Rattus norvegicus: one gene and its partner. The protein of the gene in region 1 interacts with the protein of each later gene in a pairwise test. Links are inferred from orthologs where the notes say so. Each region holds a gene or a part of one and is shown in the gene's direction. Other genes may lie near its edges.

What was found. The genes of interacting proteins can lie anywhere in the genome.
Region 2: the proteins of Lmtk2 (region 1) and Myo6 interact in a two-hybrid assay, tested with the Homo sapiens proteins (2 studies listed by BioGRID). The link is inferred for Rattus norvegicus from reciprocal best matches to the Homo sapiens genes LMTK2 and MYO6.

What each region holds. Positions count from the first base shown.
Region 1 is NC_086030.1:15,619,577-15,623,606, reverse strand, and holds the start of Lmtk2 (serine/threonine-protein kinase LMTK2 precursor), read left to right. Parts: upstream 1-1,214; 5' UTR 1,215-1,512; coding exon 1,513-1,618; intron 1,619-4,030. UniProt on the Homo sapiens protein: Phosphorylates PPP1C, phosphorylase b and CFTR.
Region 2 is NC_086026.1:90,089,390-90,092,905, forward strand, and holds part of Myo6 (myosin VI), read left to right. Parts: coding exon 1-76; intron 77-155; coding exon 156-233; intron 234-1,924; coding exon 1,925-2,054; intron 2,055-3,516. UniProt on the Homo sapiens protein: Myosins are actin-based motor molecules with ATPase activity. Unconventional myosins serve in intracellular movements. Myosin 6 is a reverse-direction motor protein that moves towards the minus-end of actin filaments.

The sequences.
Region 1 (4,030 bases):
TTTTCATTCACGGATTGGACTACCAGAGTCAGCAAAGGTAGCTTCGGAGCTGTGTTAACTGTCAAGCACTTTCTCTTGTTTCTTTTGTGTGTGCATGGATGCGTGTGTTGTGTTTGCGGCATGTGATTTGTACATGTGTGTGCATTTTCTCCACCCCCACTCCTGGGTGTGTGTTTGTAGGCCAGAAAAGCCAGAAGAATTTTTTCCTCAGGGTCAGGGTCCACTTTTTTTTTTTTTTTTTTTTTTTGGAGGCAGGGTCTCTTATTTGCCTGAAACTTGCCTAGCAAGTTTGTCTAGCTTGTCAGCAAACCCTAAGGACCCATCTTTTTCTGTCCCCTCAGCAAGCGTTTTTTTCTTTATGTGGGGTTCTGGGGATCGAATCCAGGTCCTCATGCTTACAAGGCAAGCAATCTCCTCAGCCTTCTCCATTGTGTTTGAAACATCTTCTACCCCACCTGGAAGCCTCTCCCTCCTCACACTCACCACCAACACCCAGCCCAGGTCCTATAGAGGACACCTATTTCACGATAAGCCCAGCAGGAGATCCAAGGTGACTCAGACAGGGTTGCTGTCCTCAACTGGTTTACAGTCACAGGAGCAATAAAACATGGGCTGGGGTGGAGTCGTAGATGCTTATTTATTTGTGGGATTGGGTAGAAGCCATCGATGAAGTCATATTCCAGGTGTGTCTTGATGAACGAAAAGAAGAGCGTCTGCCAGGTGAACAAGAGGGGGCAGGAAGGGCTGTCTTGGCAGAAGGGCCAGTTTGAGCTCACTGCTACGTCAGCGAGTGAAGTCATTAACACTCTGTGCTTGATCAATTGAAAATTTAAAAAGTTCAAAGTTCCTCAGAAGCTGATCTGAGGGTAAACCTAAGGTGAAGAGGCTAAGGAAGTTCTGAGAAGTAAAAATGAAGAAGGTAAAACCAGGGATAAAATATCGAGAACCATGTTGGTAAAAATAAGAAAAGAAAAATAAAAAGAAGGAAAAATAAAGTCCCAGATTGAATTATGTGGGTTATCATGGTCTTCTTTATATCTTCCTAAAATAATTCTCGGTGTTACCTGCTGCCCACGCCTCATTCCTCCGTCTGCAGGGGGCGCACCGAAATCCATCTTGCCTCCTATGGCTGAGGGGGTGGGGCTTCAGGAGTCAATATGGATTGACGATTGGCTGATCCAGGTGTCGGTCACGGCATCCCGCCTCCGCTCTACGTCACATGACGCAGCCCATCATGGCGGCGGGAGCGCGGCTGCCTGGGCCCGCGGCTCCGCAGGCTGGGTGCCGTTGCTGCTGTTGAGGGGCGGCGGCGGCGCAGACGGGCGGGAAGGATGATGCTGGCTCTGTGGCCAGAGCGGCGGATGCAGACCGGGAACAGGGTTGACGTTTGGCTAACGAGACGTGTGTCCCGAAGCAGCCGGCGCCGGTGTCGCTGAGGCGGCGCGGAGGGCTGACTGACTGAAGGCGGCAACCCGAGAGCCGGCCCCGGCAGGGGACCGCGCGGTGGACGAAATGCCGGGACCACCGGCATCATCGCCGCTGCCGATGCCGCTGCTGCTGCTTCTGCTCTTGACCGTCGGCAGTGCCCGGGCCGCGCCACTTCCGCAAACAGGTGCAGGTGAGCGGAGCCCGGGTGCTGCGGGGCCGCTGCGTCTTGCGGGGCGGCGGCGAGGTCGGCGGGCCTGCGGGGTTGGGCCACCTCTGCGACGGATCGGAGGCCTGCGGAGGGCAGGAGGCCGCGGGGTGCGAGCGATCCTAGGGAGATTTCTTGCCGCAGGGGCGTGGGATGGGGGGGCGGGGGCGCGGCGACGCGGTGGGGGTTGGGGAAGACGGCGGGGCGAGGTGGCAGAGACGGGTTTCCCTACATCCCTGGGGGACTCTTCCCGGACTCTAAACTTGTTGCCTAAAGGTCCCTCCAGCTTCTGTCCTCTCGACACTTCTTCCTTTTTTCCAGATGTCACCTGCCTCTTGTGGCTTTTCTCGCGTCCTATAATAAGAACCGTTTCTTATCTCTCGTCATTCCTTAAATGAAACACAATGACTCCTGGAAGCTGTGCAGTTTCCTTGGCTCACCGAAACTTGTTCTAAATTTGTAAATTGATTTTAGATGCTGAGGTTGTTGGGTTATTTGTCTATTTGTCTGTTCATTTATTTTTCGAAATGAGTCTCTGGGGATGAGAAAGGAGCAAAGGATGCGTATCTTTGTTTTGGGAAGCTAGTGACTGGTGTAGCAACTTTTGAGTAACCATTGACAGATTGGCCTGAGGGTAATTGAATTGCCTATTTAAGTGATATTAGTGAGTGATTCTCTTTTCAAGCCCTCAGCCCTTCTATATTTTCTGCATGTAGTTGTGATCTGGAGTTTATAAATAAAACTTCAGCCAAAGAAACCATCCCAGAAATTTTAAGGATTAAAAATTCAGTGGTGGGGGAGGTATTGACATTTCAAAGAACTTTAGAGGTTGGAAGAAACCGTATAGATGATTTAGTCCAATTTCTTCATCTTTTGCATTGAGGATGCTGGAACCCTGGTGATCAAAAGATATACTCAAGGTGACACAGCCAAGTTGTAGTTAGATGCAAACCCAGGTCTTGGATTCACCTTGTCTTGTGATTGCACCCCTACCTCCCAGTTCACTTCAGCTCTCAACTGTCTGTGGAATGCCCCTGAGGCCAAGGTTTAAGTGTAGAACTGTCTCCAGTCAATATGGGTGTTTCAAACAAATCTACAATGATAGAGGGTGATGGCTTCCAGAACTACACATATACATATACAGGGTATATGCCATTGAGTACCATTCAGTTGAGCATTAGGTGGTGTGGTTACACTATCTAATGTAGCACCGTCTTTGTGCTATCCCCTTGGAATCAAGTCTTTTTTGGTGACTTCAGTGTTCTGAGTCAATGGATAAGATAACTGGATGTCGGCAGAAGTCGATAGTCAGCCCAGATAGCCTGGCAGAAAATACCAGGGAAGCTGGGAAAGATTATACAGAAAGGAGGTGATGTTGCTATGTAAGGGTATTGACATTTAAATGGAAAATTAACTCCAGAGTAGCAGTGGGTAGAGTGCGTGTGACCTGGGGACTCCAGAAACTTCCAGAAGTTCTTGTGCCTATCAGTTTTTATGCATTCTGAGCAACCTGAAAAACATAAACCCACGAGTTCTTGACATAAGGTTTTGACACACGGGAAGGCCAGGTGATTTGTATCCACTTTTGCACATTTTTCTTTCCTGTTTTGGTCCTTAGAGGGAGCTGTATAGACTGTATAAATGATGTATTATTAAATGTCAAACATAGATGTGTGGAATTGTTTCATTGTCCAAACAGCTTATGGATATTACAACTGGGAGAGATTTCTCCCCCCTCCCTCTCCCACTCCCTTTCTCTCCTCTCTCTTCCCCTCTGCCTTTCCTGTACTATGGATCGAACACAGGGTCTCACACATGCCCAGCGTTCAACCATGGAGATAGATTTTTTTTTTTTTGGATCAAGGGTAAAGAAACTTTCTTGTTAATGGTATTTATTGAGCCCACTGGATATATATGTTAGATAAAAGAGCAGCTGTGCAGTGAAAACATAGCTGGGGTGTCTGATGATCTAGAGACCTGTACAAAGCAAGACTAGCCTTCCCAAATAAGGGTAGGCCCCCTTTGTGGGCTGGTTTTGTGTCAACTCAACAGAGTCGCCAAAGAGGAAGGAGCCTCAGTGGAGGAAATGCTTCCATGAGATCCAGCTCTAAGGCATTTTCTTAATTAGTGATCAGTTGGTGCCATTCCTGAGCTGTATAAGAAAGCTGAGCAAGCCAGGGGAAGCAGGCCAGTAAGCAGCACCCTCCATGGCCTCTGCATCAGCCCTTGTCCTGGGGATCCTGCTCTGTGTGAGTTCCTGCCCTGACTTTCTTCAGTGATGAACAGAGCACTGTGGAAGTGTAAGTCGAAGAAACCCTTTCCTCCCCAACTTGCTTTTTGGCCATGGTGTTTTGTTTCAGCAATAGTACCTAAGACAGCCTCCTTGTTCTTATTCTT
Region 2 (3,516 bases), on another chromosome or scaffold:
TCATGAACTCTATAACATGTACAAGAAGTACATGCCAGAAAAACTCGCACGATTGGATCCACGGCTATTTTGTAAGGTATAAATGCCACTTCAATAGAAATTTCTCACCAACAAATCTTTTCTGTTAAACTCAACTTTTAAAACTTGTTTTTCAGGCTCTTTTTAAAGCTTTGGGATTAAATGAAGTTGACTACAAGTTTGGGCTGACAAAAGTATTTTTCAGACCTGGCAAGGTAAATATATATGACAGTTGGGCTTCATATGTATTTCCTTAGTTATTGGCGATTTATATCACTACAGCATTATATGAAACAGCATGAGATTATGTTTCTGTTCACACAGGTTTCCTGTTCGGGGTTGTTTCGTATGAGTTTAAATTATAGTTTTACTCAGTATTGGAATCAGAGGATTGTTAATTTTTTTCTTAAATAAGGACTAACCAAAACTTTCTAACATTTTAAATAAGTTGAAACTATTTCTATAATATTTTAATAATGTGCCAGTTAGATAGCTCAGCATGTAACCCAAGCTGTCACAGAATTCTCCATCTGAGTTGGCCCAGACTCCTCAATGCTGTAAGCATGTGCCAGCTCGCTTGGTGAGTTTCATAGCATGTTGGAGTTTTCCTTGTGAGAAAGTTTCACTGGAGTATGATAGATACATAAAGCATATGAAACTCGATTGGATTTGTACTGACTATTGACAAGTTTCACAGTAAGGGAATGTGTAAACACTGCATGCGTTAGGTTGCTTTTAAGCTGACATAGTACTGCAGTTGTGATACTCACTGACTGCAGAGCATGTCAGAGCTAACTGTATTCAGTACACAAACACCTAGGGCTGTCCACAAATGTTAAGAATACCACGTCCATATTCCTAACACTTGAGACACTGACTTACTGATTACATAGTTACAATTGTAAAGATAGTTGTTATTGCAGCTCACTAGTTCCACTGGTCAACTCTCTCTAGTGTCTCAAGAACAAAATAGTTACAATAAATCTAATTTCACATTTTTTAGCACAGGATGAAAATATGCAATTTTATTGCTAGTCTGTGGTGTCTTTGTCACAGAACTTGTACCATTTCCTGTGAAAAATGAAGAGAAAAAAATATAGGTGTTCATGGCTGGCTTCACATTACTTTGTGTTATTTATCATAAATTCAACATCTCTCTTGTGTCAGAGCTATAGTAACTAATTAATGGATAGAGAAAGAACCTGGATTATTTTCCTCCAGAAAGATGCAGAAGGTTGTTGAAAGCTTAAAGCAAGCAGATTCAGAGATTCATAGTCTTGTTATGCTACTCTTACGGTTTTTATGATTAAACACTTGTTTTGTTAATTGGCATATGACACCTTTAACACTGCAGTGTGATATTTGGTGAAGAATGGAAATAATTCTGGAATTTTGTGGTAAATAGAAAAAGTATTGTATTTGCGTGGTCTGTCTCCTAGCAGTAATTTCCTATTTTTTTTGTCTAAAATTAGAGTTGGGAGAGACAGGACTTTTGGTGGCTCCCCTGCTTTCAATGACCTTTACTTGTTGAGCAATGTGGATGTCTGAGAATGTGGTTGAACTGGTTCAGACGTGTTGGCCCCATTTAACATTTTCCCTCAAATATTTCTGCCAAATTTTCCATAATCAGTCATTTAAGAGTTTTTCTTATACCTATTTTTGCTGCTACTTAGGGATAAATAAGTATTCCTTCCTACCTTCCAATAAATCGATGAAGGAAAGGCAGAAGGAAAGGGCCATGACAAGTGGCCAAATGTGTTCTGTATACCCTGCTAAGATATCCTTGGAGTTGAATTTTAATCATTTTCAGGAAGTTATATTTGGAATTTGAAATCCATGTAGTTATTTCCTCTCTACTTGAGCACATTTACCCTTTAATGCTGATGCTAAGTTATCTTACTCTTAGTTTGCAGAATTTGATCAGATTATGAAGTCTGATCCTGATCACTTAGCAGAGTTGGTGAAGAGAGTCAATTTGTGGCTAGTCTGTAGTCGCTGGAAGAAAGTTCAGTGGTGTTCACTGTCAGTCATCAAACGTAAGTATTTCCCTCTGGCATAGTAGCTCATTCTTTAATCCTAGTGCTGGGGTAGAAGAATCAAGAGTTCAATGTCTTGGGGTTGTAGAGATGGCTTCAGTGGTGAACAGCATGGGTTATTTTTTCAGAGGACCTGGGTTTGATTCCCAGCACCCACACAGCAACTCACACCTGTGTGTAACTCAGGTCTAGGGAATTAAGTTCTCTCTTCTGGCTTCTGCAGGCATTGCATGTATCAGGTGCTCAGGCAGGCAAAATACATACATACATACATACATACATACATACATACATACATACATACATGCACATTAAAGAAAAATAAAGAAGAAAAAGTTCAAGGCCTTCCTTGAATCAAGACTGTCTCAGTAACAACACCAACAACAACAACACCACCACCACCAACAACAACAACAACACCTTCTCACCAAACTATGCTTTATTTCACACCAAGATTTGTTATTTTGGAAGTGAGATGGTTTGAGGGATGTCATGGGACTGTCTGGGTGCTAATGGGTACCTTTGGTTCCTGCTGTGTCTGATGGAATGGTCCCTCAATACCTAACCCAACATGTATAGACTCATTTTATTTTCTGAAGATCTCATGACATTCACTATCTGAGATATGTTCTAGGGTTATGAATTCCACCATGTCCTAAGAAAACAGAATTTATTCTCTTCCTCCAACTCTCGTTCTCTCCTTGACGCCCCGCACCTCACCATTTTCTCAGATTCTAACTGAAACAATTCTCTCTGCCAAAATGGTATCTACCTTAGATGATCTGTTCTGTCTCTGTGTCTCTTCCTGTCTCTGACTCCTCTCACCCCCAATCTATTTAATTTGAAGTGCTGTGTATTGAACTCTGGGTCTTCCACATGCTAAGCAAGCTGCACCCGGTTGGATTTTTGTCTCTCTTTTCAAGTCTCAATAGTTATGGGATGATGTGGATTTCACCTTCTGAGAGTATAAACCTTTATTCTCATTGGCAGTACCTTAGTGGGGCCTCTTTTGTCACTTACATTATAACTGTATTAGTTTCCAAAGTCATTTGCCAGCTTCCCGCCCTGCTTATATTTTCTAAAGCAAAGGCTTTTCTAGTTTTCCTTCAATGGCTGGCAGAGTTTGAACTCTCAGACTGTCTTTCTAGACCGTGGTGGGGCTTCAGCTTGTCTTTGCAGCCTCTCCTGCTCCCCGCCTCATGGACTCTGGGCTCCAGTACACTGGAGTGAGCTGAGTTTGAATGTATTTCTGCCACATTGTAGCAGCTGATTATATCTGGTCTAGAACATGAGTGAGTGCAAAATATTTTGGATAACTTGAAGGTCTGTGGTGAAAGCTTAATGGTTGGGAGCTGTGTGGAAATCAGCTCATTCAGACCACCTGAAATAGCTTTGTGCATGAGGGAGGATTCAGAAGGTAAATCTTTACTAACAGAAGAGTAAACCGGGTCTGGCACAAAGG